Astyanax mexicanus: one gene and its partner. The protein of the gene in region 1 interacts with the protein of each later gene in a pairwise test. Links are inferred from orthologs where the notes say so. Each region holds a gene or a part of one and is shown on either strand. Other genes may lie near its edges. The genes, in order: coil and pdlim5b.

What was found.
Region 2: the proteins of coil (region 1) and pdlim5b interact in binary tests that used the Homo sapiens proteins (3 or more experiments, as listed by UniProt). The two-hybrid records come from large-scale screens. The link is inferred for Astyanax mexicanus from reciprocal best matches to the Homo sapiens genes COIL and PDLIM5.

What each region holds. Positions count from the first base shown.
Region 1 is NC_064426.1:14,146,989-14,162,969, forward strand, and holds the start of coil (coilin), read right to left. Parts: upstream 7,422-15,981; 5' UTR 7,363-7,421; coding exon 7,118-7,362; intron 5,219-7,117; coding exon 4,207-5,218; intron 3,527-4,206; coding exon 3,437-3,526; intron 2,500-3,436; coding exon 2,452-2,499; intron 2,201-2,451; coding exon 2,131-2,200; intron 1,661-2,130; coding exon 1,572-1,660; intron 1-1,571. Other genes in the region: scpep1 (retinoid-inducible serine carboxypeptidase), read left to right, coding at 8,446-8,509, 9,246-9,379, 9,597-9,686, 10,288-10,443, 10,529-10,603, 11,124-11,196, 11,343-11,380, 12,086-12,214 and 5 more. UniProt on the Homo sapiens protein: Component of nuclear coiled bodies, also known as Cajal bodies or CBs, which are involved in the modification and assembly of nucleoplasmic snRNPs.
Region 2 is NC_064427.1:4,299,478-4,316,397, forward strand, and holds the start of pdlim5b (PDZ and LIM domain protein 5b), read right to left. Parts: upstream 7,928-16,920; 5' UTR 7,826-7,927; intron 1-7,825. UniProt on the Homo sapiens protein: May play an important role in the heart development by scaffolding PKC to the Z-disk region. May play a role in the regulation of cardiomyocyte expansion. Isoforms lacking the LIM domains may negatively modulate the scaffolding activity of isoform 1.

The DNA of each region.
Region 1 (15,981 bases):
AGTGAAACACTACAACAACAGGGTGGTTTACAGGCTGTACGAGGCATCGCCCCCTCAATGCTCAGCTGTTCAATCTGGAGCTCAGTGTGATTCCCCAACTACTACTACTCTCTCAACAGCAGTAATAATAATAATAATAAAATCAACAATAATACATCACTATGATGACATAACATGATTCTGAATATTTTTATAATAATAATATTTTATTTATATAGCGCCTTTCCTGAAAACTCAAAGCGCTTAACAACACAGCCAAAGACAAAAAGCATAGTGAATAAAAACAAGCATGCAAGCACTTACACGTAACAGTGCAAGTATTTATACATAAAAAAAAAGAGACCATTAAAAAAAAAAACAGACAATAAAATAAAAAATAAAATAAAGTATGCAGGTAAAAATGTATTAACAGCAATAAGCTTTCCTAAAAAGATGAGTTTTAAGTAAAGATTTAAAAGAGTTTACTGGGGAGCTGATTCCACAATCATGGGGCAGCAGAGGAGAAAGTTTGATTGCCCAGAGTTCGCAGGCTGTATTTTGGTACAGTGAGTAAACCAGAGCTCGATGATCGCAGGCAGCGGGACGGGCAGTATGGGATTAAAAGTTCAGCAAGGTAAACCGGAGCAGTGTTCTGTTATTTTTATAGTAAAATTCAATTACTGAACTGAAAATAACAGAACTATATATATATATATATATATATATATATATATATATATATATAAACTCTGCATAGAGTCTATGTGTGTGTATATATATATAATAGTAATAGTGGCGCTCGGAGCTGAAGGTAGCATTATAGGAGGTAAACAAAGGTTTTTAATAAGCTTCTTGTGCACTTTTAAAGTTATTAATGCCTCGTTTTAAATGTCATCTCTCTTGATTCTAGCAAGAAGGTGTGGAGCTACTTTGAGCCTGGATAATGGTGAAAAAAAGTGATTTATCACAGTGATTTGCCAGCCAGTCTGAAGGGTGCTATTCATCAAAGGTAAGTACTTTTTATTATACAGCAAAACTACAGCAAAAGTCCATTTTACACCAGAGTTCTCCATTAAATTAAAGAATGTTAACCAGACAAAACATGAAATATATTCATAAAGGCTAAAGTAAAATATACCTCCCCATTTCCACACTGTGCATTCTCTCTGATTTGGGGTTTTACAACCTAATCTCTCAATGCTGTGAATTTACTTGCTGCAAAAAACGTCTAACAATTATTGTGTCGTCTATTATCATATTCTGTCTTTGGGAAACAAAGCAGGTTACTCTAGACTAGAGCTTAGTCCAAACACAAATGCGTGTTTTTAACACTGCTAAGCCTTAGCATGGTGTCAGTCGCAATTTTGCCAAACCCCAATGTCTTGTTTGAAATGTCCACTTCAAATAGTGAGACTATTTTGTGTGCGTGTAAGGTGTTGAAAATTGGGACACGTCCTGCATCCACATTCAGTGATTTTCCTGCTTACAGCACTACTGATCAACTAACCAGCTTATTAATAAGTCCTGTCAGAGTAACAGACGTTTAAATGGGGTAGAGCAAAGGTGTGTGAAATAAAGTTTGTGTGTGTTACCTGAGAGCCGAGTGTGACGGCATATTCCACGCTCTCTGAACCGTCTGGATTCTGATAAACCAAATCAAACTTCCCTGGCTCTGCACGTGCTGTAAAAACAGAGTAACACTGCTTTACAATGCAAAATAAATGAAAATTAAATTGTCTTTATTACATCTACTCCTTTCTCAAGGCCTGGTTACAATAATTGATGCCAATGCTTTATATTTCTTAATACAACTCTGAATAAGTCAGATATTTGCGTTCACTACAGCTGATGGGTTGTAAACATTGCTCACTTTAGCCAAATAAAAAAATAATTATTAATATGAAGCTGCTGCTCTAAAACAAAAGAACAAAAAGTAAAATATATTGTATATTATAATCTTTTACTGAATAAACTAAATACTACTTCTGAACAGTAGCTGGCCTCATTATGAGACTGTATTTTGGGAAGATGACAAAACGGATCAGGCTGAACATTTTTGTGATTACACATGTCCTGTTGTGTAATCAGGGCTTGTGAAATAAATGATAGAGCAGTGATTCACAGTTAGTAAACAGGTTTTGCAGGACTCACCTTGAGTCTGAGTGAGAATCTCTAGTTCAATCATGCCAGTAGTGTGATTAAAACCAACTATCTTCCCCTCCTGCAACAAGCAGATAAACATAATCAAGCATCTATAACAGCTGATGCCACTCTAACAGGGGCTGCTATTGTACAGTAAATAAATATAATGAGTTAGGGGTTATCAGTTAAAGTACACTGTCTTCCTCTTGAAAATAAATTAAGAAATATTTATTTGACGCTAAATATCCAAATATAAATGTACAGAGTATGATAACCAACATTTTTATACCATAATACATGATAAATACATATATTTAAGCACACACTTACCTTATAATCAGAAACTTCTGGGGTGTAGTTTTCCGTTAGCTCTAAAAGCTGTTAGAGGGAGGAGTGAAGATTTAGTAGAAGAACACATTCACAGATAAGAGACACGTTATCCTTCTGGACAACTAAACAGCTGATGTGTCACACTGTCAGTTTTAGGGCGAAATTGAGACTAAACCCGCTTTAACTTCTTTCCAGCAAAATACAGTGTTTATTTACTGTTACAGTCTAAACGCAGCTCGGAGGTAAACTGCTGTTTATGCATATGCATTTATTGATCATTTTCCAACTAAGCTGAAAACACAAATTAGCTTTCTAAACAAAGCAGTATGGGTCACCTAGTAATACTACAGTAAGGGTGAGCACAGCAGATATGGTTCACAAAACATCAAGACGTTCTAGAGTATTTCACTCTGCTTTTTAAAAAAAAAAAAAAGAAAAAAAAAAGAATGATGTGACCACTGGGGGTGGGCCATATGGCCCTGAAATAATATCACAATATTTCATGGTACGATATGACAAAACACTAAAATTATTTCAAGAATACACTACTGCAACAAAATGAAAATTAAATTTTGTTATTGCATACAAAATGATGACACACCCCTAACTGAGATAAAAAAAAATACAAGAATTTTATCAGATTTGTAACAGAAGTCAGTGATCCAGAATGTGATAGTAAGAACGCACACAGTGAACACTGAGAGAACAGTGTGTAGTTTTCTTTTGCTAAAAACAGTATATTTAAAAAAAAAAGATTATTAGGGGTGGGTGATATGGCACAATATTTCAGGGTATAATAATGTTCATGTTATTAAAAAAAATGTGGCGATATTATTGCACACGATATGATATGGCACACCTCTAGTGACCACAACAGTCAGAGACTCACTGGTTAAAGGCAAAAAGTTTGTATAATTCGATATAATAACACTGCAAAACCATAACAATTCCAATCATCAGCACTGATGTTCCCTCTCTATCTTACCTTAAAAGCAATCTTCTGCCCCGCTGCAGGAGGAGCCGCAAGGAGGGGCAGGGTACTGTAGTCCCGACTGGGCTTCGGCTCCGGAGGATTCTGAAACACAGAAATACAGACACAGGAGTTATGAAAAGTCATTTTAATAAACTTACACTAGACACTGCCATTATCTATCTATTTATATATGCTTTCAAAGATGCTGCTATACATTAGGATTATAGATGAATAGTCTAAATGCTGTTTACAATGTCACAAATCCATCAGAATACATTTTGAGAGTTTGAGAGTTCACAAGTAAACTTACCTTAACCACTATTATACCAATTAATAAACTGAGTTGTTGTTTCATTTAGTATAAAATAACCTTTAATAGTGAATCTGTGCTTAAGAACTGGAATGACGAAAATGCTCATTTTAAGAATCTAAACTAGTTCTAAACTACTTGTAGATTTGTAATAGTGATAATGTACACAATAACATGTACTCAGATGATCATATCCAGGTTTGGTCTCTAAAAGATCAGTTATTACAGTCATTTAACATAACTGATAGCCAATATAACCCAGATTCAGTCATATTAAACAGCCTAGGGGATGCTAACGAACACTGGACTAAATATTTAAGCATAATAACAGATTCCATGTGAACACGGCTTAAGCACAATATTTATTACTAGTGTTGGCCTAGCACTAACTAGCTCAAAAATAACTACAGTCTGGGGTCTGTGATCAATCATGCCCAAACTAGTTTATCATCTCAACTTAAGCAGTTCCTACCTCCAGAATCAGGCTCCTGTTGCTCTGGGAATCATCCTGCGTCTGCTGCTCCCCACTGTCATAGTTGTAGTGAAAGTTCTGTTTCCATGGCGTTCCTCTGGCCCTACCAAAGCCACCCCTGACCCCTGCACGACCTCTGACCCTACCACCCCCTCGAGGGGTCATTCCCAGGACCTGTGGGTTGGGGGTCTTGATCACGAGCTCCGTTTCACTGCTGCTGTCAGAATCTGAACTTTCTGGCTTCTTTTCATTCTTTTTGGCCACTGGAGTGGATAGAGCAGGTGGGGGTCCGTTCTGAACTGCAGAAGGAGGAGGAGGAGGTGGTATCTTCCTCGCTGGGGGTGATGGGGATGATGATGAGGGTGAGGAATCTGAGGAAGACTGTGTGGAGGGCTTTTTGACTGATGGTTTAGAGTTGGCATTAGAGGTGGGCTTTAGTGGAATGGGAGATGGTTTGACAGCAAGGTTGGGTTTGTTTGGCTGGGGAGGTGCAGCAGAATCATCCTCAGAAGAGGAACATTCTGAAGAGGAGGTTTCTTTAGCCTTAGCTGTGACAGCCTGCTTGAGTAGGGTTTGGGGTTTAGATTTAGGTGTGTGTTTTTTAGAAGATTCCACACTGCTGTCTGAAGAGTCGGAGTCTTTCTGTTTTCTACTGTTTTTTGATGTTCTGGGAGTCACTGTGGAACCTGGAGTCTTTCTGCTGTTCGCTCCTGACTGGTCCTTGGAGGACAGAGGTTCTTTAACTGGTTTTAAAGCAGCTTCAGCTTCAGTCTGTGGCTCTACCCTCTTGTTCTTCTTTCTTTTCTTCTTTTTGTTCTTCTTTTTAGTTTCCTCATGATGACTGAAACCATTTACAGGAGTTACCTCCTTTTTGCTCTTCTTTGATACAGCAACAGCACAGTCCTCCACTAGTTGCTCCTCATCCTCTTCTTTTCTACTCCTCTTCTTTCCCGAGATCACTTGCTCCACTGGCTCAGATGCACTTGAATATGAGAGGCTAGAAACCTTCACCCTGACAAACAAATAAAGAAAGACATAAAGAAGCAGATAATAAGCAGTGATTACCATGGTATTTCAAGTGCCTGCAATGGTGCTGCTGAGCAGTTTCTACAGTATGGTTCCCCAGGTGGCTGCTAGCTAGATCACTGTTATAATACTACAAGGTCTCAGGGGTTTTCCCAAATGTTGCTGTGGTACTTATACCATCACGTGGATGATACACTGACTGTACGGCACCCTGACACTGGGATACAATGTGCTTTAAATGATCCAAAATTTTCCTGTACAAAAAAACTCATCTAGTTTGCCTACTGCTGAGAAGATCTTACATCAGTCATGATGAAGTGTTTTTAAAACCTGCTCAGAGACTTGGATCTTCAACTGGATCTTCTCTTGATGAACAGACCAGCAGACAAGTGGTGCAGGTACACAAACATACCTCATACACCCTCACCCTCTGCCCGCTGGGTTGTGCCTCATAACGCTATTCCTCTAAGGTCCAGGAGAAAATCACATATTGTTGCAACCTTAAATGCATTCTGATATTCATAGACCAAGGCAAGAAAGACTGTAAAGAACATTAGCCATGCAAGCAATGGACTCTTTCCCAGTTCCTACGGTCTATAAATGTAGTTTACAATGTTGCTGTCCAATGAAAAGCAAATTTCGCCAAAACAACAACTTTATAAGGGAGAGATAAAACCTTAACTTTCAATAGAAAAAATGTATTTCAGCTAATTTTGGAGAATTTCTATTGGTCCATTCGTTAAGAAGTGTTAATACATTGGAAGGAACAGTTTGGGTGTTCAAATCACCAAAAATGGAGGTACTTGTTTTTCATTAGACAGGAAAGATATATAAATCCATTCAAATTTTTAGTTATTATCTTTGTACAAATTTATCTTTGTTTTATCTGATTTGCGACCAGACCCTTCACTGCTAGTTGGGCCTTGTAGGATAATGTACAGTACCACTGAAAAGTTCACTTCTCATTTATTTTTTTTCTTTCTTTTTACAATTTCTTACATTACAAGGAACACATGGGGAATTTGTTATAAATAAAGTGTTAAACCATACCAAATAATCTGTTTTATAATTTAGATACAGATTAGAGGACAGATCTGCACACTCTTGGTATTTGAATCTCAGTGTCTTCATGAGGGAAAGTCAACTGGAATAGTTTTCTCAGCATCTTGAAGGAGTTTCTGGAGATGCTAAACAATAGTTTCTGCTTTTCCTTTATGCTGTGAAGCTCCAGCTCATCCCAAATCACCATCTCAGTTGATTAGGTTTAGGTCAGGGGATTGTGGAGGTCTGTGGAAGTTTACTACGTAAACTTTTGTCTATATATCCCTTAATTGTGTTCATGTGTTTAATATTAAACTACAATGTAAAAAAAAAATCAAATAAGTAAATAACGAATAACACAATGAGGTGTGTTCGAACTTTTGACTGGTATTGAATATGACAAACGTTGCTTTTTGATTTGACGGCTGAATGTATAATGTGTGTATTTAAATGTGTATATGTGACAACTGAAAATAAATGTACTTTTTCGTTTCCATATATTGATTGAGAGTTTTTACTTATGTTATAAGAAAAGGTTTAAAGTTTAATTATGAAATAAAGACCCTTTAAAACAAGAACTAAAAGAACAAACAAAATGAACGGAAGTGTAAGATTGTCTGTAATTTGTGTTTGAAACTAGTACTGCGTTTTATGTTATATGCAGTTATGAAGGGTTTTTGGATTCATGGTTAATGTGTTTTATGCTCTGACACGTTTAAATGAATATTTATTAAGTGAAAGTGTAGTCTGAGTGAGGCTGAGCGGTAGTAGTTGTAGTAATGGATTATTTATCCAGGTGTTTACAGTGTGTTCAGTACTGGAGCACGTGCTGCTGCTGCTGTACCTGATGCTGTCGTTGTCGCGGATCAGGTAGATGCTCTCTGTGGGCGGGAGGTAGCTCTCCTCTATGAACAGGTCCAGCTCGGCCCTGCGGCTGTAGCCGAACCGCTCCCGGATCTCACTGCACAGATCCGCGATCACCCTGCAGCGGTTCAGGTCCAGCAGGATCCAGCTCATGCGGCACTGCGGCCCGGAGGGAGGCGGGTAGTCAAACCGGAGCCGCAGCCTCACCGCGCTGCTGCCCGCCATGCCTGCCGGAGGAGAGGAGCGGAGCCCGGGCAGCTAAATCACCACACCGCCCCCCTACCGGCCCGGAGGAGAACCGCGGCTGCAGAGAGAGCACCAGCACACAGGTAACACTTATATACAGTCTGTGGTCCAGTTGACCAGATTCACACAGATAATATAGAATGGAATCATTAAACTGAAAAAAGGGAAAATAAAGCTACATTTCCTTTTATGAGTGACTTTTACAATCAATGATTAATAAAAACGAGACCCACCGAGATAGTTTAACATTTTGGCGACCTCTAGCAGTAAATCTGATACTTTCTGTGAAAAGGGTAATTACCTTTAGATTTACTAAAGTTGAAAGTATTTATATCTAAATAACATTTAATTGAATTTATTATAGATGTATAACATATAAAACATTTACCATTTTAGTCACGATGTTCAACACATTTTAGAATTAGCTCTAAATTCAGGTCATTTTTTGAACTTAGTCTATCAGTCTATTTTATTAATATTCTATCATTTTAACAACACTCTATTTTCTCAGTCCCTTTCATTAATATATAATAGTTTTTTTATTTACTTTTATGATTTAAAACATAAAAAGAATGCAGCATTACATAAAGAGATATTACTAAAATTAAAGTACTTATACAGCCACTAGCTCTGAGTTTTGAGTTTTGAGTTTTAAAAAGAAATATTTTTTAGTTTTCTATGGTTCGTTTGGTATTTTTTACATTTATTAACCAAAACAGGACATTCCCAGAACGTTATAAGACGGTTTTCTTGTCACCGTAACAGTGGGTGAACGTTTAGTTTGTGCTTCAAAAGAAAAGTCCTATTTTATATAAAATAAACTCTGTAAAACATTTAGACGGAAATTAAAGCTAGTATATGGTGAATATAATAAACATTTATACTGTGATTTTTATTTTTTCAAATATATTCACCAAATAAAAACTGTTCCCAGCAGTTCTTCCTTTAATTTTTTTTGTATTATTGTTTCTGTCAGCTGACCGGTCATATGATGTAGTTTCAGCCGCGGTGTGGAGCTCAGTGTTCGGTGTGTGTTCAGGTCCACAGTCGGAGGCTGGCAGGATGGCACCGGGCAGGACGGGCTCATGGGCGGCGGTGCTGCTGTTCGCTGTTAGTGTGTGTAGAGGTGGGTAAATGTGAAAGTCTTAGTGTTTTAAAAGCGCTGTTCGCGCTGATTTGGAGACCTGCGGTAATGTTTTAGACGCAGTGCGTGTTTAAATCCGCACCCGTCAGTCTCATGTATGTTTGAACTACTTTATAAACATGTTTTATGTATTAAAACAGAGTTATATAGCTGTTAATTTCAGATATAAAGTGGAATTCATTAGTGAAAGTGAAAGGAAAAAACGAGAACTGATTTTGGGTTGTTTTCGAACTTTCCGTTCCACCTTAAAAATGGCTCGGACGACTGAGTGTAATTGCTGCGCCATTTAAGGTAGAACGGGTCTTTGGTAAAAATGTGTGAGTTTAAGCCCTTTAGTGCTCTATTTAAACCCGTTTTCATTCATGAGTGTAGAATAACTGTAAATTGCTGTAAACAGAGACGGTTGAAAATAAAAAAATGAGTCCATTATTTTAGAGTACTGCGGCAAATAAATATATATAAAAAAGTTAAAAAGTTATCTAAACGTCCCCAGATACAGGTTTTATCAGTTGTTCAACTGTTATTAACGCTCTCTTTTTGCATTGTTTTGGGCTACAGCCCCAAAGTGACTAAAACTCTTTAGAAGCTTAATGTTAAATGTTATTTAAATATGTGTAACATTTATAAACGGTACCAGGATACTTTAATATCCACAGGCTCAAAGTGAATTAAATGGTAAAATGTATTTTCCTTTCTAATTTTCTTGTGTTTTGGACAGGCTGGTCACTCCCGGTTCAGGAAAAGGAGGTCTGGGGTTATGTGGACGTTCGTGAAGGAGCACACATGTTCTGGTGGCTTTACTATGCTAACAGCCCCAGCTTTAAGGACCTGCCTCTGGTCATGTGGCTTCAGGTGAGAACATCATAAAAGTGACTCACCAGCTGATCTCCATGTGAACTCCCTTCAATAAACTCTTCTATTTAAATCAGGTTTGGGAAATGGAATTTACCATTGAGAGGGCCCTCAATGGGTCTTGCTTCCCCTATAACATAGCGATTGTGTGTAACACTGATCTGTCCTGCACTACATATGCACTCAGTGTGGTTTGTGTTTGTTTTTGGTATTTTAGGGAGGACCTGGTGGATCCAGTTGTGGATTCGGAAACTTTGGAGAGATCGGACCTCTGGACACAGACCTTAAGCCAAGGAAAACCTCCTGGGTAAATACATTACAATACTATTAATAATGTCATAATAAAGGAATACAGTAATATTTCTGTATAACTGTACTAATCATTCTGCAACAGCTGCTACTGATGATGATGATATTTATAAGATAATTCAACTTTTTTAAACCATATTCGTAAAAAAACAAAAAGATAAAAAAAGGACTTATATGCCAGTTAGTCCTCCTGCTAAAGATCACTATCGCTACCATCTCAGTTAAACTCAGTTAAATTCAATTTTGTTAGCCAATATTTATTTGAAAGGCAATCAAGTTTCATGCCAAACCAAGTTTCATGCCAAAAGGTGCTGCGATAAACAACAAAAATCTATTTCTCAGCAGCCACTTTGTGCCAATTAATAAGTGACATATTGTAGACATCTCAGTAATTGACTAATTTAAAACATGTTTATAATTATCAAGAATTACCAGTTATTTAACTCAGTTACAATAACTCAACAATGGTAAGTAGTTTATAAAATGATGATTGGATGATGATTGTTAATTCTGGCTATATTTGCTATTGTTAGTGTTATTATTGGTAGTAGTGGCAGTAGTAGTTGTAGTTCTGATGTTTATAAGTCTGTGTTTTGTAGGTGAATGCTGCCAGTGTCCTGTTTGTGGATAATCCTGTGGGTACAGGGTACAGTTACACAGACTCTGAGAAAGCCCTGGCGACGGATGTGTCCATGGTGGCAGCAGACATGATGGTTCTCCTGCAGAGCTTCTTCAGCCAGCGCACTGAATTTCAGGTACCTCATTCACACACAAACTGCTCCCCCTGTGGGTCCTGCTATCAGAGTGTAAAAATAAAGCAGCTGTGTTTTCCTCCCACAGACAGTTCCTTTCTACATTTTCTCTGAATCTTACGGAGGAAAAATGGCCTCGGCTATTTCACTGGAGCTCACGAAGGTAAACAAATACATTTATGATTTCTGATCTCACTCATGTGACAGGGCAGATCAATATAAGGGGAATTCAAACAAGGAACTTTGTTTTTTTTCTAATTGCCAAGCATTTTAGACAGTAGTGTAGACAGTGATGTTAAATATAAAATCATTTGTTGTTGAATGTTAATATGATTACTTTAATAAAATGTGTGAAAAGTGCTCAGATTACACACTGACATTCAGTCATGCACTCAGCTGATGTTTATTAATAGGAGCAGTGTGTTTCTAGTCATTGTCCACTTCCTCAAAGGCTTCTGCAAATAGGCATACAGCTCAGTGTGTGTGGAATGGTGTTTGAGTGTGTGTAATGGCCATTTATCGTCTGAAATGTTTCTGTATTCTAGCTTATTTGTTGGACAGGGACAATATACATAAACACAAATGCATCAAATTGCAGTTATTAGACCTTTTATAAGGCAAATAAGTTAATTACTGTGTAACACAACAGCATATATCCTGTATTTCCTATTTTGTTTCCTCAGGCTGTTCAGAAAGGTTCCATTAAGTGTAATTTTGCTGGAGTGGCGCTGGGAGACTCCTGGATTTCTCCTTTAGGTTTGTATTATAATCAAACATATATAACAAAAGTGTAAAATGTGAGGCGATTTTTTTTGTTGGGTATATTTCTTAATCATGTCTAGTGGATGTCTGTGTATTTTTTGTTTGCTAATTAAATCTGAACATCTCATCCCCCACTGTAGACTCTGTCCTGACCTGGGGGCCGTATCTGTACAGCACTGTGAGTACTTCTCAGCCGTAATGAGTGTATATTATATGTTTGGTATATTGGTGGGTGCTTATTAAGTTTTACATTGAAACAACAAAGCTAATGTATGCTATTTGTTAAAATGCATCCCATTGAAATGAATGCATTCACTTACTTAAATTTCACTCATTATTGGCACACATGTGCAAATGCACACACTGTCCTTCTAATTCCTGTAGAAAAGTACTGTCAATAAAATAGAAACCTCTAGAGCAGACAAAAACATGAATCTACTGGCAGCATGCCTAATACAAGGAGTGGGCTAGAGGGATATAAATCCCCCAGCATGGAGCAGACTGGATCTGTGTTCTATTGAAATTAAGTCAGGGAGTTAAAAGTAATCAGATCAACATAGAAACAGAGTAAACAATGAATGAGAATGAATGGTTTCTGACACTGCATGAATTATTATGATTTAAAACATGGACTGAAATACAGAAAATGCTCAGTTTATGTACAGGAGATATATATATATATACAGGAGCATAACCCTGTCTGTATGTGTGATTTAGATTCAAACCGTGTTGGTTTGATTAGGACTATAGCAGCAGTTAAAACTAAAGAAGTACTGAACTAGTGTGGAACTCTTAATTTATGTCATTTTTTTTCAACTTTATTTTTACATCTTGCTGTAAATTGTTACCAGTATGTTATAACTTATTTGTGTTTGATCTCCAGTCTCTGCTGGATGATTATGGTCTAAAGGAGGTGACCCAAGCAGCGAAAGATGTTCAGCAGGCAGTGCAGCAGGGTCAGTATCAGAAAGCCACTCAGCTGTGGTCAGTTACAGAAAACGTGGTGGAACAGGTCAGTACTTTTGTACTTTGTACTTTAATATACACAAGATTATAAAATATCTATAAAATATACATAGCATAATAACTGGTAACACTTTACAATTAACGGTACTTATGATAGATTGTTTCAAATAATTATGAATTCACTAGTTAAGACTAGTTTAGACATTATTAATCATAAAAATAAAAATAACAAATGGCTCAAGTCATTATTTTTATTATTAATAACAGGGTTCACAATATTTATTATTGTTTAATCAAGTCTCAACTAATGTCCATTAATAATTAGTTTCAATATTACTTAACCATTTATCAATGTTTTATGATGGCCCACAACTGAACAGGCCTGATTTTATGAAAACTTATGTTAATGTTTTTAAAGAGACAGCAGACTCACTTATTCTGTTGCAGAACACAAACGGAGTGAATTTCTACAACATCCTCACGCAACAAGATGATGATGACCTGGTGAAGTTCAGTGCTGATGACCAAGACTATCTGAGTAAGACACTAAAGAATGATTCACACACGAGCTGGTGTATTTTATCCTGTATTGATGTTGAGAAAATGACAAAACAAATGTCTCTGTCTCTCCCAGTTGCTCTGAAACGCCGCCATATTAAGCCTCTTCATGGCCAGTCACTCTCAGAGCTGATGAATGGACCAATCAGGAAAAAGCTAGGTGTCATCCCGAAGAACGTCACATGGGGAGGTGAACCAGTTTATCAAGCATTTCACTGTAAACATCCTGGCCACTTTATAAAAAAAACTTGGAGCTTTTTATCGATTAATTCGAATTTACAGTTAAGGTCGATGTGTTTTTATGAAAATCGATTTACTCTGAGTTTTAATTTTTACCGCTGACGCTCCCCTGAGCTCAGCCCCCCCCCCCCCCCCTTTGAAAATAAAGAAAACTAAAGAAAGCTAAAAAAAAAAAAAAAAGTTATTAAAATTACAGCTTCAAAAACATGTATTGTGCAAATTAGGCGATAATATCATTTAGAGACTTCTAGCGTCTTTTAGGAGATTTTAGTAGGGGGAAAAATTAAAAATTTTAAAAGTTTTAAATCGAAAATTGGATTTCTTAAAAATAATGGAAGATTTTTTTTTGGGCCATATCGCCCAGCTCTACAGAAACCCCTTTCTGGCTGTTACAAGGTAGGGGTTTCTAGTAAAGTGGCCAGTGAGTTTAGACTGTCTGTTATCTATACAGGTATTCTTTGTACAGTCCATTTCTATTGAGAACTGTGTGTGTGTGCATGTTTCAGGTCAGGCTGAAGACGTGTTTTCCAGCATGTCTGGAGACTTTATGAAGCCTGTGGTGGACATTGTGGATGAGCTTTTGTCTGCTGGGGTCAATGTGACTGTCTATAATGGCCAGCTGGACCTGATTGTGGACACGATGGGTAAGAGACACCTGGTCAAAAATAGTTTTTGACGATGTAGGACAATTTAGAAGCGATACTGTTTTGTTTGGAATGTAATATTATTATTGTATGTGCTGGTTCACAGGTCAGGAGCTGTGGGTGAAGAAGCTGAAATGGGAAGGACTCCAGAAGTTCAATCAGATGAAGTGGACGGCTCTGGAAGACCCAGAGTCTGCAGGACAGACGGGAGCTTTTTACAAGACCTACAAAAACTTTGCCTTCTACTGGATCCTGAAGGCTGGACACATGGTAAACTGCTGCTCTTAAACTAAACTGACCAATCAAGTTATATTATTATTATTATTATTATTATTATTATTATTATTATTAAAGACAGAATTCAACACATTTTTCTTTTACCCCACATTTTGTGAATCAGACCAGATGTATAACGTTTAAAAGGGTTAACTAACAGGCCAAGTTACATAGAAACATTCTTTGATATCACCTTCTTACAATTCTTGCATCAATATTGTTATCCATTTGAAGAGTTTCTGCTTGAAATTCGTTGAATGTCTTAAAAGCCTGCCAGAGCTGCTGTTCTGATGTAAACTGCCTCCACCCTCATAGATCTTTTGCTTGATGATAATCAAAAGATTCTCTATAGGGTTAAGGTCTGGGGAAGATGGTGGCCACACCATACGTTTCTCTCCTTTTATACCCATAGCAGCCAATGATACAGAGGTATTCTCTGCAGCATGAGATGGTACATTGTCCTGCATGAGTGTGATTTTGCTCCAGAAGACATGGTTCTTCTTTTTATACCATGGAAGAAAGTGATCAGTCAGAAACTGTATAAACTTTGCTGAGGTCATTTTCACACCTTCAGGGACCCTAAAGGGGACTACCAGCTCTCTCACCATGATTTCAGCTTAAAACACGACCAAAACATTCCAGCCCAAAACAACGTCGCAGCCCTGTTGGGACATGGTGGCCATCCACCAACCATCCACTACTCCATCCATCTGTACCATCCACGGTTATACACTCATCAGTAAACAAGACTGTTTGGAAATGAGTCTTCATGTATGTTTGGGTCCACTGCAACTGTATCTGCTTGTGAGTTCTGGTTAGGTTATCTTTATGACACTTAAATCCAATTTGCATAATAAATTGGAACTCTGTGTAATTCTTAAACATTAAAAAACTGTAAAAGCTTAAAATGCTCCATCAACCAATTTTTATTGAAAAATGGCAGAATCAGACAACATCCATGCTGACCTTACCAATGCTCTCTTGAGGTTGAATGCAATCAAATTCTCCTCATAGCAATGTTTTATAATATAGTTTTAAGTTTTCCTCAGTATTTCTCTGAAAAGCTCTGGAGCAGGTGTCGGGTAAAGGGTACAGCAGCAAATATCAATATTTAATATGATTCTGATATCATTACTGTTACTGTTCATAATATGCCTCAATATGCTTCAGATCACCACAACCTGATGTTTTATAAGACCACTATTTAGTTGTCTGTTGTCTTTGTGTTTACTGTAGATCCCCTCTGATCAGGGTGAGATGGCTCTGAGGATGCTGAAGATGGTCACTTTGCAAGAGTGATGAAGACACCCTGTCAGATTTAAGACAATCAATGCAGATTCACCAAAATCAATGCTTTTTAGCTTATACTTTGACCTCACACACCTCACTCCACTCGGTCTGATGATGATGATGATTCTGTGGCTAATCAAACTGAATCACTTGATTTTCTTTTTTTAACTGAAATGTGCTCAATAAATTGTCTTTTTTTCTATACTATTTTGTCCGATTAATTAATTTCCAGGAACGGGATGAAGATGCTTTACATCATGTGGTGGAGGGTCTTTAAAACCCAGCAACAGTTTAAATAAAGTGGTTCTTCTATGGCATCAATTAGAGAACCACCTATGGAACCTTTAATTTTAAATGCATAAATATATTTTTTTATAATTTATTCTAAACATTGCGTATTTTTATGTTTTTTGCATTTTTCTGTGCATTTTATATAATAAACAAAGTATGGAGACATAATTCAGCGTCACACAGGGGTAAATGTTAGCTGGACCAATCAGCTGGAGCTTGCATCGTGTTAATGACAGGGTGAGATCCAAATCTAACCTGGAGCTTATAAGACAGACTTATAGGACAGATATTACAGCACTGACATCCTAGTGGGATGTGATTACCTGTATTTATTCATTTCAGTTTGGTTCAAAACACAATTACACAAACACTATTTTTTATTTCAGCACAGTTGTATTTCAGTGCATACTGTATATCAGGGGTATTCAGTCTTGTACACAAAAGGGCAGAAGTGGCTCCAGATTTTTTATTCCCTCTGTGCAGGAGGCCACCTGATCTATTGTTTGGAGAGACA
Region 2 (16,920 bases), on another chromosome or scaffold:
CTTTAATATTAGTTTATGACTATATTGGTGCCTCCAAAAGTATCTTTTTCTAGCATTGAGAGATTTGTCTTTGCCATTGTTGAGTTTGGTTTGCTGATGTATAAAAACACACTAAATAATAATTGGCAAAGTCATAATGTGCAATGCTCTAAAAGCTATTTCACAGTATGTTTTTGCCCAACAGTTAATACACTGACATTCTTTAGATCCCTTAAATCCTATAAACACCTACATAAAGGAATCTGAACATTTCTGGCCAAGTTTAGACCAAAGCACTCAAAAAAAGATCTCAATGAGAGATAAATGCTGGAACTCCCCTTTAATGAAAGGAAAAGTTACTACAACAATTACTATAATAGAGGTCAGATGTCTGCAAGATAAGAGAGCTCACAGCATGTGGGCCCAAGCCTCAGCCGGATTAGGTAATCCAATGGAGCTCATGTCAAACAAGAATCACACACAGACTACATTACATTAATCCATTTAATCTGAATAGCCATAACATTAACACCAACTGCTTGTTTAGTTCTACACTCATGTCTATTTTATCAGCTGTTCTGAGCATACAGGAGGTTTTGTAGACTTTGTAGTTCTATAATTACGGGCTGTAGTCATTTCTGTTTCTCTACATACTTGTCATACATGTCATGACCCCACAGAACCACCACAGAGCAGCTATTAGTATTATTATTATTATTATTATTATTATTATTTGGGTGGTGGGTCATTATTATTCTCAGCACTGCAGTGATTAGCACTGATTAGCATGGTGCTGCATGGTGATATAGGAGGTGTTGATGTGTGTTGTGCTGGAATGAGTGGATCAGACACAGCAGTGTTGCTTGAGTTTTTAAACATTTCAGCTTAGCTACTGTCTCTGATTTTACTTCATCTACAAAGTGGAGCAGCTGTAGGTAGGAGTGTGTAATAGAGTGAATTGTAAAAAAAAAATCCTTTTTTATACAATTGTTCATTTCTGTTCACTATTTTGGAGTTCTGCCTTGCATTTACAACATCCTGCCAGCCAGTGTCTCTTACCTTACTCTAGCACAGTCTAACATGTGCTCTGCCAGAGCTAAGTCACACAATAAGCACATGGGAACTATTTCACATTTGTAAAGTAAACTATGGGCATGTTCAGAATTCAGAATTCTCAACTTAATTGTTGTTTATCAGTAACTTTACTTAGCCAGCAGACTTTGTTTGAGGGAGGGATCTGTAGCAACTGTACGTGGCAAGTCAGCAGATGTCGAGAGAGAGACACTCAGCTGTTACACTAAGAATAAATGACCCACCACCCAAATAATAATAATAATAATAATAATAGCTGCTCTGTGGTGATCTTGTGAAGTCCTGACACCGTATGCAGAGAAACTGAGAACATATTTTACAACATACGTTTTTTTTTCCCACCTCATTTTGTTATGTTTTGTTTATCTTTCTTTTCAGTGTGTCATGAGATCATGCCTTGACCTTGTGGTTTATGAGAAACCTCTAGTTCCTCATACAGAGGTTTCTTTTGTCACAGCTCTTCCTGCTAGGGTGGGGTAACACACTGAACTGGCCTTGTTTTGAGAACATGCCCGGCACCGTAAAGAGAGCGAAATGAATGAAACAGTTTTCCCGTTCCTGCAGCCACATGCCCGCGGGCCGGCAGCGGAAACAAAAGCTCTCGGCAACTGGCTAATTACCTAACCTGGGTTCCCTCTGTTGATCTAATCTAGATTAGGGCTGTTGCTGCTCCGCTGGCTGGTTGTTGGGAGTGGAAATATCGAGACACGATAAGCGCGGAGCTCTGACGAGCCTCCGGGAACACTCCCATGCGTGAAGCCACATGGAATTAGAGTGGAGGGAGGCTAAGTGGCTTAACATAGTCCTACAATTGAGGCTAAGGCATTTGCTGAAACATGACCCGAGGTATTATCTTGGGAATGCGGCTTTTGGTTAAATCACTTAAAAGACAAGGGAGAAGCAGTAAAAATTGAAACAGAGGAGACAAGCGGAGGAAAACAAGCAAGATAAGAGCTTTCTATCTCTGTGTGAGCAAAGAACAGGAAGGGCTAAAGAGCATTCATCAGTGTCTTGCCCTACAATGGAGGTATGGATAGTGATTTTCCAGATGGAAATCAGCTTTAGCTTCAGATTAAAGTGTAATAGACTTATTCTGCGGCTGGAAAACCCAGGAGAGTCTCCTGAGCTGCTATTATTATTCCATACAGATCCTTCTCTTTTCAGAAAGGTGGGGTGAAAACGGTGCAGCCTAAAATAGGCCTAGACGACTTTATATGTCTGTCACCATGGACATAAACAAAAAAAATGGATCTGGATCTGCATCCACGTGAAAGCTGGCATGTACATTCTTCTGTCAACTACAATCGGCTTCTCCTGAGCTGAGAGTAGACGTGGTGCCAAAGGCACACCCTGGAAAGCTCAATAGCGCTGAGGTCTGTAGGGAAAATCTGCTGGTTGAGCTCAGCTCATAACTTACACGGCCTAAAGGGAGTACCGGCCACATTTGCTCAGGCGGAGGAATGAATGGGTAATGGCAATAATAGCCATCCCACCCCCGAGCTCCAGTCTATAGACAAAGCCAAGAATACAAATGTGCCGAAAATAGCCGAAGACGAAGACAACTGGTGCGCGGGTTCACGAAAGTCACGAAAGTTTTTTTTGCGCTGGAAATACTCCACTCCAGCTGAAAGGGATGCAAACTGCAGCCAGTTAAATCATCACAAATGAGGAGCGGGGTGAGCTACCAGAAATGCACGCATCTGTTTATGAATCATGTGTTCCGATGAAAGGAGGAGGTGGCCGCTTTAACTGTGCTGAACGTTCAGCTCCATGTGTGATCACTGCACTGTTTAATGTTTACCAGCTCCGGGCTGCGCACATGACCACACATGACCTACGCACAGCCGAACTATTGTGTCGACCGCAAAACATATTGAGATACAGCCTTCAAACAAGGCCTGATAAGCCATGTAGGGATATAAGTCTACAGCGAGACACCTTCAAAACATCTGCGCTGATTAAAGAAAAAGTTTAAACAGACGGATGTGATCAGAATCGTGTTCCTGGAAACTAATAGCATTTTCCACTGATATTACACTATATAGCCAACAGGACCGCTCACTGGAGCACACTGCTTAATCATTGAGTTCTGGTGTTTTGTTCAGTCCTTCTGCCAGAGGTGTTTCCAAGGTACGTTCCATTTACCCCGTAAGTTGGACGTTGGAGCTGGGAATGATATGATAAGTTATATAAACAGTAAAACATTCAGATAATTGTACAAACTACACTGTAAGCCCGGATTTTATTTCTAATTAAAAATGTATATTCAATGTACATAAATTATTAAGTTTTAGTCCATTACTGTCAAATGTAAGTATATTGTACTCATTTCAGCACGTATTTAAACGTGTTAATAGTTTTTAGTTTAATAAACTAAACATTTTAAGTTTTTGAACTGATTGACTTAACTTTTTAAGTTATTTGACAGAAAAAAACTTTTTTATGCATTTAAACCCGCCCTTTTCCCAGCTTGCTGTTGGTGAGGCGGCGGGCGAAGCTTTGCGTCCTCCATGCCTCTGCAGTCTAAACTGCAAGGCGGGAAAATGTGGGCAGCAGCGGACCAGTCACAGCTGCCGCTGTCCGTGTAGCTGAGCCTGCGAGTCTGCCCGCCGGCTCCGCAAGCTCCGCGAGCTTCTCCGGCGGGCAGGCTCGCAGGCTCAGCGACACGGACAGCGGCAGCTGTGACTGGTCCGCTGAGCTGCCCACATTTTCCCGCCTTGCAGTTTAGACTGCAGAGGCACGGAGGACGCAAAGCTTCGGCTGAGCTCGCGGAGCCGGCGGGCGGAGCTTGCGGAGCCGATGGGAGAAGCTCGCGGAGCAGGCGGGCGAAGCTCGCGGAGCCGGCGGGAGAAGCTCGCGGAGACGGCGGGCAGGCTCGCAGGCTCAGCGACACGGAGAGCGGCAGCTGTGACTGGTCCACTGAGCTGCCCACATTTTCCCGCCTTGCAGTTTAGACTGCAGAGGCACGGAGGACGCAAAGCTTCGCCCGCCGCCTCACCAACAGCAAGCTGGGAAAAGGGCAGGTTTAAATGCAAAAAAAAAAGTTTTTTTTCTGCCATCTCCCATCGACTCCGCGAGCTCTGCGAGCTTCGCCCGTCGGCTTCGCAAGCTCCGCGAGCCCGTCGGCTCCGCGAGCTTCTCCCGCCAGCTCCGCGAGCTTCTCCCGCCAGCTCCGCGAGCTTCTCCCGCCAGCTCCGCGAGCTCCATCCGCCGGCTCCGCAAGCTTCTCCCGCTGGCTCCGCGAGCTTCTCACGCCAGCTCCGCGAGCTTCTCCCGCCAGCTCCGCGAGCTCCATCCGCCGGCTCCGCAAGCTTCTCCCGCCGGCTCCGCGAGCTTCTCCCGCCAGCTCCGCGAGCTTCTCACGCCAGCTCCGCGAGCTTCTCCCGCCAGCTCCGCGAGCTACGCCCGTCGGACCCGCGAGTTTTTCTCTGTTTTTTCCATGAATATTTATAAAAATATTTAAGTAACGTTTAATAAAAAATAAAAGTAAGAAGAAATCAAAATTTTTGCTTACTTGTAACTCAAGATACTAAGTAGAATTGTAGGGCAAATGAATTGGTGTAACAAAAACAAAAGAGTTAAATCAACTTACCATTTAGTTGTATTAACTTGATGTTTTAAGTTATGTTAACTTAAGTTTTCATTGCCCATTACTTAACTTTTTTAAGGCAACCGGTTTCCTCAAATTTTTTAAGTAAACTCAACTTATCCGGGCTTACAGTGTAAAGGATTTGGAGTTTACCACAACTGGTTTGACCATTTTTTATGGCAAATCCAACCAAAATATGAACAATTTTTTAATTTTCTAGGTTGTTCCATCATTGTAAGCACTCTCCCAGGCTCCCAGAGGTATTAGATATTCCAGTTTATAACACATTTTGCAGTATTTTGCACATTTAAACACAATGGAAACGTGTCCAAAGATGGACAGGCTAAAGGCCAAACACATTTATTTTTGCCCCATTTCTCTATTATCTTTAGGTTGCAGAAAGTTTGGAGCATCCCTAGTGCTGTGTGTGTGATTGACCTATTGCAACAAAGTCAGCTGGTGAAATTTCTTTCCTCCACCTAGATATTCTCAGAAAGAGCGTCCAACCATGTAAAGTTACAGAGGGGACCAACTCCACACTAATGTGATTTTAAATAGTGTAATGTACTGGTCTCCCAATACTTTTGTACATACAGAGTAGACTTAGGCTATGTTCGCAAATCTGATTTTTTGATCAAAGTGGATCAGATCTGATTTTTTCATGGCTGTGTGAACATGTCAAATCAAGTTTTTTTTTTAAATCAGATTTAAGTCACTTTCCTATGTGGTCCTAAATCGGATACGTATCCGATCAATGGACATGCGACAAGAATGTGAACGGTCAAATGAATTCATGAATTCATGCGTCTTTTTGCTCTTACGCATTAGCATTAGTGCTACGTGCTTCTCTCCCCTACCCACACTGCATCTCTTGGTGCAGCTGTGCAGCTATAGCTGCAAAAACAGCAAAAGCAAACCACCTAGCCTTTTTTCCCCTCTTTTCTGCTCCACATATGAACTGCTAACGCATCCATTTCACCTTTATAAAGCTACGAGTCTCTCGTCTCTCAAATATGACATTTTTTGTTGTTGGTGAAGAAGGTGACGTTTATACAGAGACAGATTCGTTCACATTACACACAGATACAGATCACTTACATTTGTGAATGTGAACCGTTAAGATCACATTCTGAGCAAAAAATCTGATTTGAGCAACGTGGCTTGTAATGTGAACATAGCCTTATTCTCAATATGCAGTTTGTACAGCAGAAGGTTTAGACTGACTCATCTTGGCCAAAAGCTCTTCATCAAGTCACCACTTGGTGCTGATATAAAGGCTCTTTATGTCAAGACATCTGGAGCCTCACCTGCCCACCTGCCTCTGAGCACCTACACACCTGCTTTAATGGGTTTACCACATCAAGGGTGGCGGAACCTTGGAGCAACACCTGGTTTACGCTCAGGAATTACTCTGTCTGCAAATACCAGCTCTCTGAATATCCTCCCTTCATTGCCTTCACATGCCATGATCTCACCACCAGCCTGTAAAAAAACTGCATTACTAATCTGAGGGGCTGAGGGGCTACTTAAATAGCAGTTGTAGCTGAACCCCTGCCAGGCCAGCTCTCCATTAGCCATCAAAATTGCACAGATTACCTGTAATTAGATTATTACGCTTAACTATGTTTTTCTTTCTTCAGGACTTATTCAACGTACGACGCTAAACCTGTAACTGGCAACCAACTGGCTAACAAAGCTTCGCCACAAAAAGCGTCCACAGATCATTCCTGACATTCCTAAACCTTCCCAAAACTGGAGAGATATTTTAATCTGTGTTACAGTGTTCAATTAAGCAGAAAAAGAGCACAGAGTAGCCTAGCTAAATTTTGTAACTAAAGTACTGTGTGGCTTATTACAGGACTGTATGTAAGTGGAACACTATTAGAACTATTAGAATAGCAGCAAAAGACTGTTAGAAGATATACGGCTCATCTTTGGAACTAACATAAGAGCAGTTCAGTCACCAACACAACAGAATAAGATCAGATATAAAATAAAATAGAAAGTAGATGGATGTTCAAAGGACCTGAAATAAACTGACAGCAGCTGAACATACATGCTAGTCATAGAAGCTCACAACGTGCATATATACAAATGTTTGACTTATTGCCTACAATAAGACATATAATCTTGAAGTTCTTTATAAGAATACAGAATAAAGACGACACTTTTCTAGGAACTGTGATTTTGCATCCAAAAAACATGTTTTTTTTTTCACCTAGTTTAGACATGGCACCTCAAAATAATGACGTTTCTCCCTAATATGACTTAGCATCTAAAAATAATTACTTATATTACTTATTTTTTTATCTGTATCATTACATCTTATACTTTTTTGTAACATCTGTGCACTATGTATATCTGCTACTTGATGTCCAGAATTTCCCTCTGGGATCAATAAAGTATCTAACCATCTATCATCAACAGCTCTGGAAAGAATGAAGAGACCACTTCAGTTTCTGAATCAGTTTCTCTGATTTTGCTATTTATAGGTTTATGTTTGAGTAAAATGAACATTGTTGTTTTATTCTCTAAACTACAGACAACAGTTTCCCAAATTCCAAATACAAATATTGTCCTTTCATGAATCAATATTTGGTGAATTAACCCCGGTTTTTAATCACAGTTAACATGTTCTCCTCCACCGGTCTTACACACTGCTTTTGGATAACTTTATGCCACTCCTGGTGCAAAAATTCAAGCAACACAGCGTTTCTGTAACTGATATAAATACTGTAACAATCTGTTTGACACTGTGTAACGGTAGTCAGTCACCTCACTTCCCCACAGACTTGACACACCCTCCACCTCTGTGTGTGTGTGTGTACTTCCTGAAGCACAAACGTGTTGTAACTCTTCTCTCTCACTCTGAGTAACAGACACTCACTGTTAAACGCTGTTGGCTGCTTTCACTTTAAACCGGTTTCACTCTTTAAACCGAATCAAGCTCGTGCTTTTATAACGCTGCTGTCAGAATTCTACTACAGCTTGTTTCAGGCTGTTTAAACGACTTATTCTTACACTTAAGACCTCTTACTTAACGTAAACGTTTTAAACTTATTCTAAACCCGCTTTAAGTCAGTCTAAGATCGCTTTAAACCGGTTTAAACCCGGCTTTTTTAAGCCTCTCAGAGCCGCTGAACTCTCCCCCCAGCACTCACTCACCTTCACTCCGGACTCTCTCCGCCGCTCGCTCGAACACAACTGACTGAAACTTCCACACTTCGCTCGTGCGCTCCTGCAGCCAGGCGACCGTCCGAATCTCGCTTCTGATTGGATGTTTCTAAGGGGGCGGGAGGGTGACTTCACCACAATCGATTTGATTGGACGCTGAGGAGAGCAAAGCGGCGTTTAATTGGTCGTCTGAGTTTAGGGCTGCTGCCCACTCACCTGTTGCTTGCCGTTATTTTCAGAGATGAATCAAGTGAGAAAGTTAGGTGAATCCCACACTGATCACAAAAAAAAAATCAGATTTTTTTTCTGATTTAGTTATTTATAGGTTTATGTTTGAGTAAAATGATTATTGTTGTTTTATTCTATAAACTACATAGATAACATTTCTCCCAAATTCCAACCAAAAGAACATTGTCATTTAGAGCATTTCTTTGAAGAAAATGAGAAATGGCTAAAATAACAAAATGCAAGATGCAGAGTTTTGAGACCTCAAATAATGCAAAGAAAACAAACTCATATTCATAAAGTTTTAGAAGTTCTGAAATCAACATTTAGTGCAATAACACTGTTTTTATTCACACTTTTTAAGCATCTTGGCATGTTCACCTCCACCAGTCTTACACACTGCTTTTGGGTAATTCTATGCTGCTTTACTCCTGATGTAAAAATTCAAGCAGTTCAGCTTGTTTTGTTGGCTTTTGATCATCCACATTCCTCTTGATTAGATTCCATTCCATATCCTCTTGATATGTTTCTAATTTGGTAAAATCAAAGAAATTCATCATTTTTAAGTGGTCTTTATTTTTTTTTACAGAGCTGTATGTGGGAAAGGTGTTTTGAGAAACTATTTGAGGGAAGAAAAAAATATGTTGGTCATGATGTCAAAAGACCTCAGATGACAAACATTCTATGCATGGATGCTGATAGAAAAGCACATTGACAAATACTAATAAATAAAATACTAAATAAAACAAAATAAAGGACCTAAACATATAATAAAGCGTCATCAAATCTCTGTGAAATATTATATACATGGCAAAAAATATATCAAATTCTAGTTTTAGCCCAGAATTATCCTTTAATTGTGAAAGTGATTAATCATGAGCATTGAACATTAAAAATGGAGCAGGACTAGAAGTTCAGAGCTTAAAGAAACAGACCACTGGGGCTGAGAGAATGCCAACACAAAGAAAAGAGAGCAAAAAAAGAAAGAAAGCAAAAGAGAAAGAAAGATTTAGAGGAAAACTTTTCAATGTTTTTCACAGGAGCAAAGAATTCCTGGGTCTTAGTCAAGGAGGTGACAGACTTCAGCGCAGATTCTCAGAAGCACAGAGATTCTAAATCCAACCGATGAGGGAACGTTATGATAACCTTAGCAGTAAAGCAGTAAATAAAAAAATCCATCAATTACTAAGAATGTGAAGAAGATTAATGATGTAGAGAATCCAGAAACAGGCTGATAGAACAAATCTGGGGTGCGTTTCCCAAAACGTTCTTAACGCTAAGTACTTCGTAACTTCGTACTTACGAACAATCTTAAAATTACGAGCGTTTCCCGAAAGCCTTCGTAACTAACGTAGTACTTAAACTCGTTCGTAACTTTACGAGTGGTCTGACCCACTCGTAAATAACTAAGTTCTTCTTAACGTGGAATCCACGTGCAGTTCTGACTCAAAAACGAAAGAGGCCGCTTTTGATCCTTAAAAAAATGCATTTAAAGATGCATTCAGCATACGTATTTATAAAAAAATAAACAATAAAAAAAAGACTAAATTCCAGACTATTTAAATTAATTTATTAACCTGCGCATATTTATTCATAGTATTTGGGTTTATTATATGGTTGAAATAATCGTATTCACGTGAAGAAAAAGTTACAATTACCTACAAATATAATTTTTATTCACACATATCACACACATATGGATTAAATTAACGGTTTTCCCCAGTCTGACAGTCGTAGTAGTAAACAAATAAGTAAATATATTTTATTTGGCTTTTTATATCATACAAAATTATACCTTTGTGGCTTAATAATGAAGAACTGTATATAAATCGGTGGTCTAGTTTTCATCTGGCTTTGCCTTAAACCTCACAGACACGGGGGCGGAGCCACCAAAGTGCTACTTAAAGGTCCTTCGTAAGTATGGAGACTTAAGAGTGGCTTCTGGAAACAGTCGGAAAAATGGCGTTCTTAAAGTTAAGTCGTTCTTAAAGTTGTTCTTAAATCCCTAAGAACAATCGCTATCGGGAAACGCACCCCTGATCATTAAGTGTGCTTTTTACATGTAATATTGTCGTATTGTGTCATAACACAAAAGATAAGCAAATCAGAAGTGACTATAGTCTGTGACTACTCACTATAACAGCCTAACTATAAGAAGAGTGCCAGAAGGTAACATAGACACCAGCACTTTCTGAAACACTGGAATACTTTAAAGTTTCATATATTTTATTTAGTGAATTATTACAGATTATTTTTTTTAACTCTGTTTTATACTCTGCTTCAGTATTTGGTCAAGAACAAATGTACCAGATTTAGGCTAATCAACAGCTTTTTATTAAAGGCCATTTATGTGGTTATTTTTAATAACAGTTGGTCTACACTCAAAGATGAGTGTAGTCATAGATGTCAAACCTGTCCACACTGGGCTGGTGTGGCTGCAGGTTTAATTCCAGCCAAGCACAAGCACATGTCATCAGTTGTTTGAAGACTGACCAACTGATTAAGCAAGTGGAATCAGGTGAGCTGCCCAATAGATCAAGTTTGACTCCCCTGTTCTAAGCATAAAGGGTTATACCCTTCATATAGCTCTATATAGTACTGAAAAAAAAAAAACATTATTTGACTTGAAATGATAACAGCCTAACTGAAAGTAATTGCCAGAAGCTAACATAGGCACAATTACAACCTAAAACTCTGGCATGCTTCAGAGTTTAATGTTGAAGATGATGTCCAATCATCAGCAGGCCTTTTGAGGCCTTTTTCAGTCATGGTAGGCCTACACTCTAAGCCAATGGGTGTCAGCCCTGTCTACAATTGGCTGGTGTGGCTGCAGGCTTTAATTCCAGCCAAACACAAGCACATTTCATCATTAGTTTGAAGGCTAACCAACTGATTAAACAAGTGGAATCAGGTGAGCTGGCTTTATTTATAATAAAATCCTGCAGCCACACCGGCCCAGTGAGACCAAGTTTGACTCCCCTGTTTATATATAGCCCTATATAGTATTGAAAAATATATATTTGACTGAAGTGCAAGAAGGTAACATAGACACAAACACAACCTAAAAGACTAACATACCTCAGAGTTTAATGTTGAAGTCTCTGAGCATTTGATCTAATGCACCAGATGATGTCTAATCAACAGCAGGTCTTTTAAGGCTGTTTAAACTTTTTTTTTATTTCAATCACGGTAGGCCTACACTCTGAGCCAAGGGTGTCAAACCTGTCAATAACTGGCTGGTGTGGCTGAAGGTTTTCATTCCAGCCAAATACAAACACATTTCTTCAGTTGTCTGAAGACTGACCAACTGATTAAACAAGTGGAATCAGGTGAGCTGCTCAAAGATTAAACCAACCCAGTGTACTTTATATACTTTATCTATTTAGTACTAAAAAAGGTTTATTTGACTTCAAATGATATTAAAACCCATTTGTTTCCTAATAAAACTATTTACAAAAAGATTTTGCAGCTACCTGAAGAAGCTTTTTACCAGACAGTGAACCACTAAAGCAGCCAAATTATTCTCTTAACTGTTTTTACTCTTTATATCACCATTGCCTTTACTACTAATAAAACCTTGATAAGCTTTTTTAAGCACAGTTTAAGACTGCACTATTAATACAAGTCTCCTCAATTGTAACATAGGTTTTTCTCCATAGTGCAGTGAATTTTAGAAATTCTGAATTTAAGACATTCTAAGCTTAGTAAACTCAGATGTTAAAGAGTAATTGCCCTGAATAATAATACAAAATTATATATACATAAAATAAAAAAGAAAATGCAACTTTTGTAGAAAATGTAGGAAAAAACTCAAAAGTTTGGGATGTAATCAAAATGTGCACAATCTCTGGAGTGAATTATATAAGTAAATATATATTTTTAAATATACTTTCTTGTAAATTTCAATGATGCATTTTTTTGACAAAGTAAGTTAATTTGGAATATCAATTTTAAAAGATAATTAAACAAAGAACATTTTTTTGAGAAATGTATTATTTTAACTTCTTTTAAACCAAAATGCTCAGTTAAAATACTCAACATGTCCAAATCTCAAGAAAACAAGTCAAAATGTTTAGAAATCAAAACAGAATATTACATTATTAAGACAATAATTGGAATTTTGAGAGAAGTTTTTGTTTTAAGATACCAGGTTAAAATGTTTAAATACTATGTCAAATATTTGATGAAGTTAAATTGTTGACATAACATGTCATAATTTGATACATTTTAATCAAAATGTTTTGATTTTTATATGTTAAGTAAACAGTGAGAAAGTAATTATTTTAACTTATTTTAAGTCATTCATTGTTATAAGTTGAAATTTTGAGATTATTTTGTCGTTTTTAACTGAAAAGTTGCAAAGATATCATGACTGAATTTCACGCAACCAAGTCAAGATTTCAAAACATAGATACTTATAATTAACAGGTAAAATAAACCAGAAAAAAAGAAAGTGCTTTATTTCCTTGTCTACCTGCAGGTATGAGGAAAAAACAGATGTTGAGAGGTATGTGGTCAGAAGCTTCACTGGCTTTGAACAATACAATCAAACAATAGCCTTTATCATGACTTTAAAAGGGAAAGACCTGCAGTGCATCTAAACAATGAGAACTATTCCCAACCTAATGAGTGCATGCAGTAAGTATGCAGGTTGGCCGATACCAGGCTTTAGTGATAGCAGGCTGGCTGGTTCAGTTTTTAAATGGTGATGTAATTCTTTCCCCTCGGTGTTTAAGAGAGAGTGGAAGTGCCTGCCAGGCTCAGCTGATGGTAATAATGGGGACTTTGCTTCACCAAACAGGAACATGTGTTAACTATCCACATGTGTTTTATATTTTACATTTAAAAAGGTTTTTACAGCTGAATTTGTGCTCCTTTTTTGGGTAATTCTGAGAGCAGACAGTCATGTCCACAGGCTGTTTCAGCTCCTCTCAGAGGAGGATGTTGTAGCACAGTCCTGTGGCGCCATCCACTGCTCAAATATGGACTTCTCAATCTCAGAACTGCTTGTAAACACTGGCTGCAAACGTTTGAATATATCTTTTCTATCTTATTCAGTGTGTTTTATTTCGTTTTGTCAGCGAGGCGGACGTAAGTGCAGGTAAGAGGACATTTATTATTAAAAAATAAAAAATAAATAAACAAGCAAGGGAATAAAGAAACAAACCAAAACAAACAAGAGACTAGGAGAAACAAACGGGTATAGGGTAACTGAGAAATCAAACGAGAAACATAAAGATGACTGCATGAACTAAACAGAACAAGGAAAATAAATAAGGAATAAACAAGGAAAATAAACTAAGATAAACAAGAAACAAGCAGGGAAAATAAACAGTGTGAACCAGGGAACGCAAACACAGATATGATCCCGAAAAACAACAAAGGAAGGATGCAAAAACTGACAAGGAAAAGCAGGAACACAGGGGTATAAACACACAAGAAGGGAAACAGAAATGGGAGACACCTGGAGAAAGTAACGAGGGGGCGGAGCTACAAATTAGACAGAGGAGGGTACACCTGAATGGAAAACTACAGGGGAGCACACTGGGAGACGAGAAACACAAGGAAAACAAGTAAATTTAATATTAAAGACTGTATTAAAGCTACACAGCAACACGTAGAATATGAAGTAAATATAAAGAGTTAAACAAAGCAGAATATATTTTACACTTTAGATTTTTCTAAATAATTAGCTTAATTTCTCTTACAGGACAGATCTGCACACTTTTGGTATTTTAATCTCAGTGTCTTCATGAGGGAGAGTCACCTGGAATAGTTTTCTCAGCGTCTTAAAGGAAGGAGTTCCTGGAGGTGTCTCTCTTCCTTCTTTCTTTAGTTTATTGTTTGTTTGTTTTATTTTCTTGTACTATTCTAATAAATACTCACAATCTGCATCGCTCCCTACCTGACAGAACATTTCAAATAATTAATAAATAGTGGTGGCAAAAGTATTATTTTAGTGCATTAGAACAAATAGAAGAACATGTAATCAATATTTGACAATTAGTAATTAAATAATTGTAATAAATATTCAATCTACTTTAAAAAAACTTATTGATTGACTGACTGATTGGCAGTTGGGTAAGTGATAAATCATGCTAATTAGATATTTCTCAGAACTAGCTTGTATATTTGGTCAATTGGAATACATAACAATGAGCGTGTATCCAGCAGAGCATTGCTGCAACACCAGCGTCTCAGTCAGTCGAGAAAGTCAATTGACGAGCATAACACGTACATCCATTTGGGTTTAATACATCGATTGTGCTTCTCTTCTGTGCAGCCAAGCGTGCAGCTATACGTCAGCCGGGACCCTCAGACAGAGAGGCCCTCACATCAAACACAGCTTTAACAGAGTGATGAGAGCAGAGAAGGAGTACAAAGTGAACAGAGTCTGACATTTAATCAATATAATCATGTTCATCTGTGATACACGTTTATTGAACAACAGAGAATAGGCTGAAACCATGAGACAACATGGTTATAATAATAAATTATTAAAAAGCCATCCCCAACTCTCATAACTCATAACTTTACCCCTAGGATGGTGTGCATCTTCATATCATATCATTGGTCACCTACACACTCTGGATCAGAACTGTCTCTATAAAGCTCATACAACACAACGATATACACATTTAAAACCATTATAAACATCAATTCATAAAACAACACATTCTTGCATAAAGTTAAATAAATATATATTTATATATATTTATAAGATATTGTAGTGCATAACATAGCATGTGTAATGCTCCCTGATACATTTAGCCTTCATAGTCAGAAATGAAGAGGAAAAATTAAGAAAACAGGTTTGGACAGGTTCAGATGCTTCACCTATTGAAGGCATCACAGGTGGCTCTCCTTGGTTAACAGCTTTTAAATATTATAAATATCAAAACATATATGGTTTTCACCCTGTTGATCTTTAACGATGTTGATCAGCCAAGACATGTTTGAAGTTTTGCTAGAATGCATGAAGTAATATTAAAATCACACCTCTTTTTAAATGGCCTCAGTACAGAAGAATAAAATTAGTAAAGAATATTTAAATATTTAATTTTACCTTTGTAAATAATGGCTTGTGGTACAAAACAAGTTTCAGTAAAGACTTTACTGCAGACTAAATCATGCTAATGAACTAACATTATTTTGCATTATTATTTGCAGTCATAAAGAATACACATAGATTTCAAATGAACTACAAAAAAGGGGATTTATTCATTTATTTATTTAGTTTGTTAATTATTTTAATATTCTATAACCTGAACTACTCTTGGCTTGGCCCTCTTTTCAATTTTGATCTTGACTCTGATGATGTTCACTATAAAAAAAAATCTCTCTACATTGCATTTGTATAAAAAAATGAGTTAAATAAGAAGTTTAAGGGTATTTTTATATTTACAGAAGGTAGAAAATATGCTGAAAATTATAATTTGTACATTAAATAACTTGGAAAATGCTAATTCGTTGCATTTTGTGAAATAAATCCCAATGTCTTACACATAAATATGTAAAAAAAAGGGATTAAAACATGCATAATTTCTTAAAAAATATATAAATTATAATTGCTGATTCGAATCCCGTTTATGTAGCTCGTCATCAGCTGCTGGAGCCCTGAGAGAGCACAACTGGTTTTGTTCTCTCTGGGTGGGTATAGTAGGTGGCGCTCTTTCCACTCATCACTCCGAAGGGTGATGTGGATCAGCACAAGGCTGCGTCTGTGAGCTGATGTATCAGAACTGAGTCTGATACTTCTTGGCAATGTTACATCAGCAGCAGTTTGAAAAGAGGCGGAGTCTGACTTCACATGTATGAAGGAGGCATGTGTTAGTCTTCACCCTCCTGGTGTGTTGGGGCATCACTAGTGATAGAAGGAGTCCAAATGAGTGGGTTGGGTAATTGGACTAAAATTACAACAAAGAAAATATAAATAAAAATATAAATTATTAATAGAGCTAGAAAAGTAATAAATAACAGGAAAAAACTGACAAATCCTGTCAATTATTTTGTTTTTAAAAAATTAATTAATTAATTGTATTATCATATGTAGTCACATGACCCTGCTCTGGAAACAACATGGAGCCAACTGAGCCAACTGAGTAACTTAAGCAGATTAAACCAATAAATACTGTAAAATAATCACTTATTCATTATATTTGAGCTAAATTGTTATTCAGTAAGTCATGATATTAATTTGTAGCCACATGGCCCAGCACTATTTGAATCATTTATGATGATGGTTATGATAATTATGATTCTTCATGCTCTAAAGATGCAATCTTCACACAACAGACATGTCTTGGCTGCTCAGATCTTTGGGCATTGGTTAAAAACCCTAGTGAACCGTTCATTTCTCTAGGCTGTGTGATAGCTCTGCTACTTCCTACCGTGTGACATCACTTGCTCACATCACGTACTTTCTTCACAGGCCTACAGTTTACAGTAGAAATACACAGACAGTTATGTGGAGAAGAAATAAAACATAACACTAGTGCCAGTGGTGAGAGACACAGGTGAAGACATCAGCAGGTTATACAGTACAAGCAGTACAATCTCAGAGCAACACTGAGCTCTTATTTCATTACTCTCAGCAGTGAAAGGGTTAAACGAAGTAAGGGACAGTTAAGGACAGTGCAGACGTGTGTGAAGCTGGTACCCATAAACCCATTTGCCATAACGTGGAATGACTGGGGGTGATACAGTAGTACAGTGATATAATTATTTGGACATCTGGTTATTAAGAACATTGCAGTTTAATGATGGTGTAAATTGGCTTGGGGACAAACCCAAACTTTAAACAATATTTAACATAAACCTACATCAAGAATTTTTGGATACAGTAATATTCATTACCACTT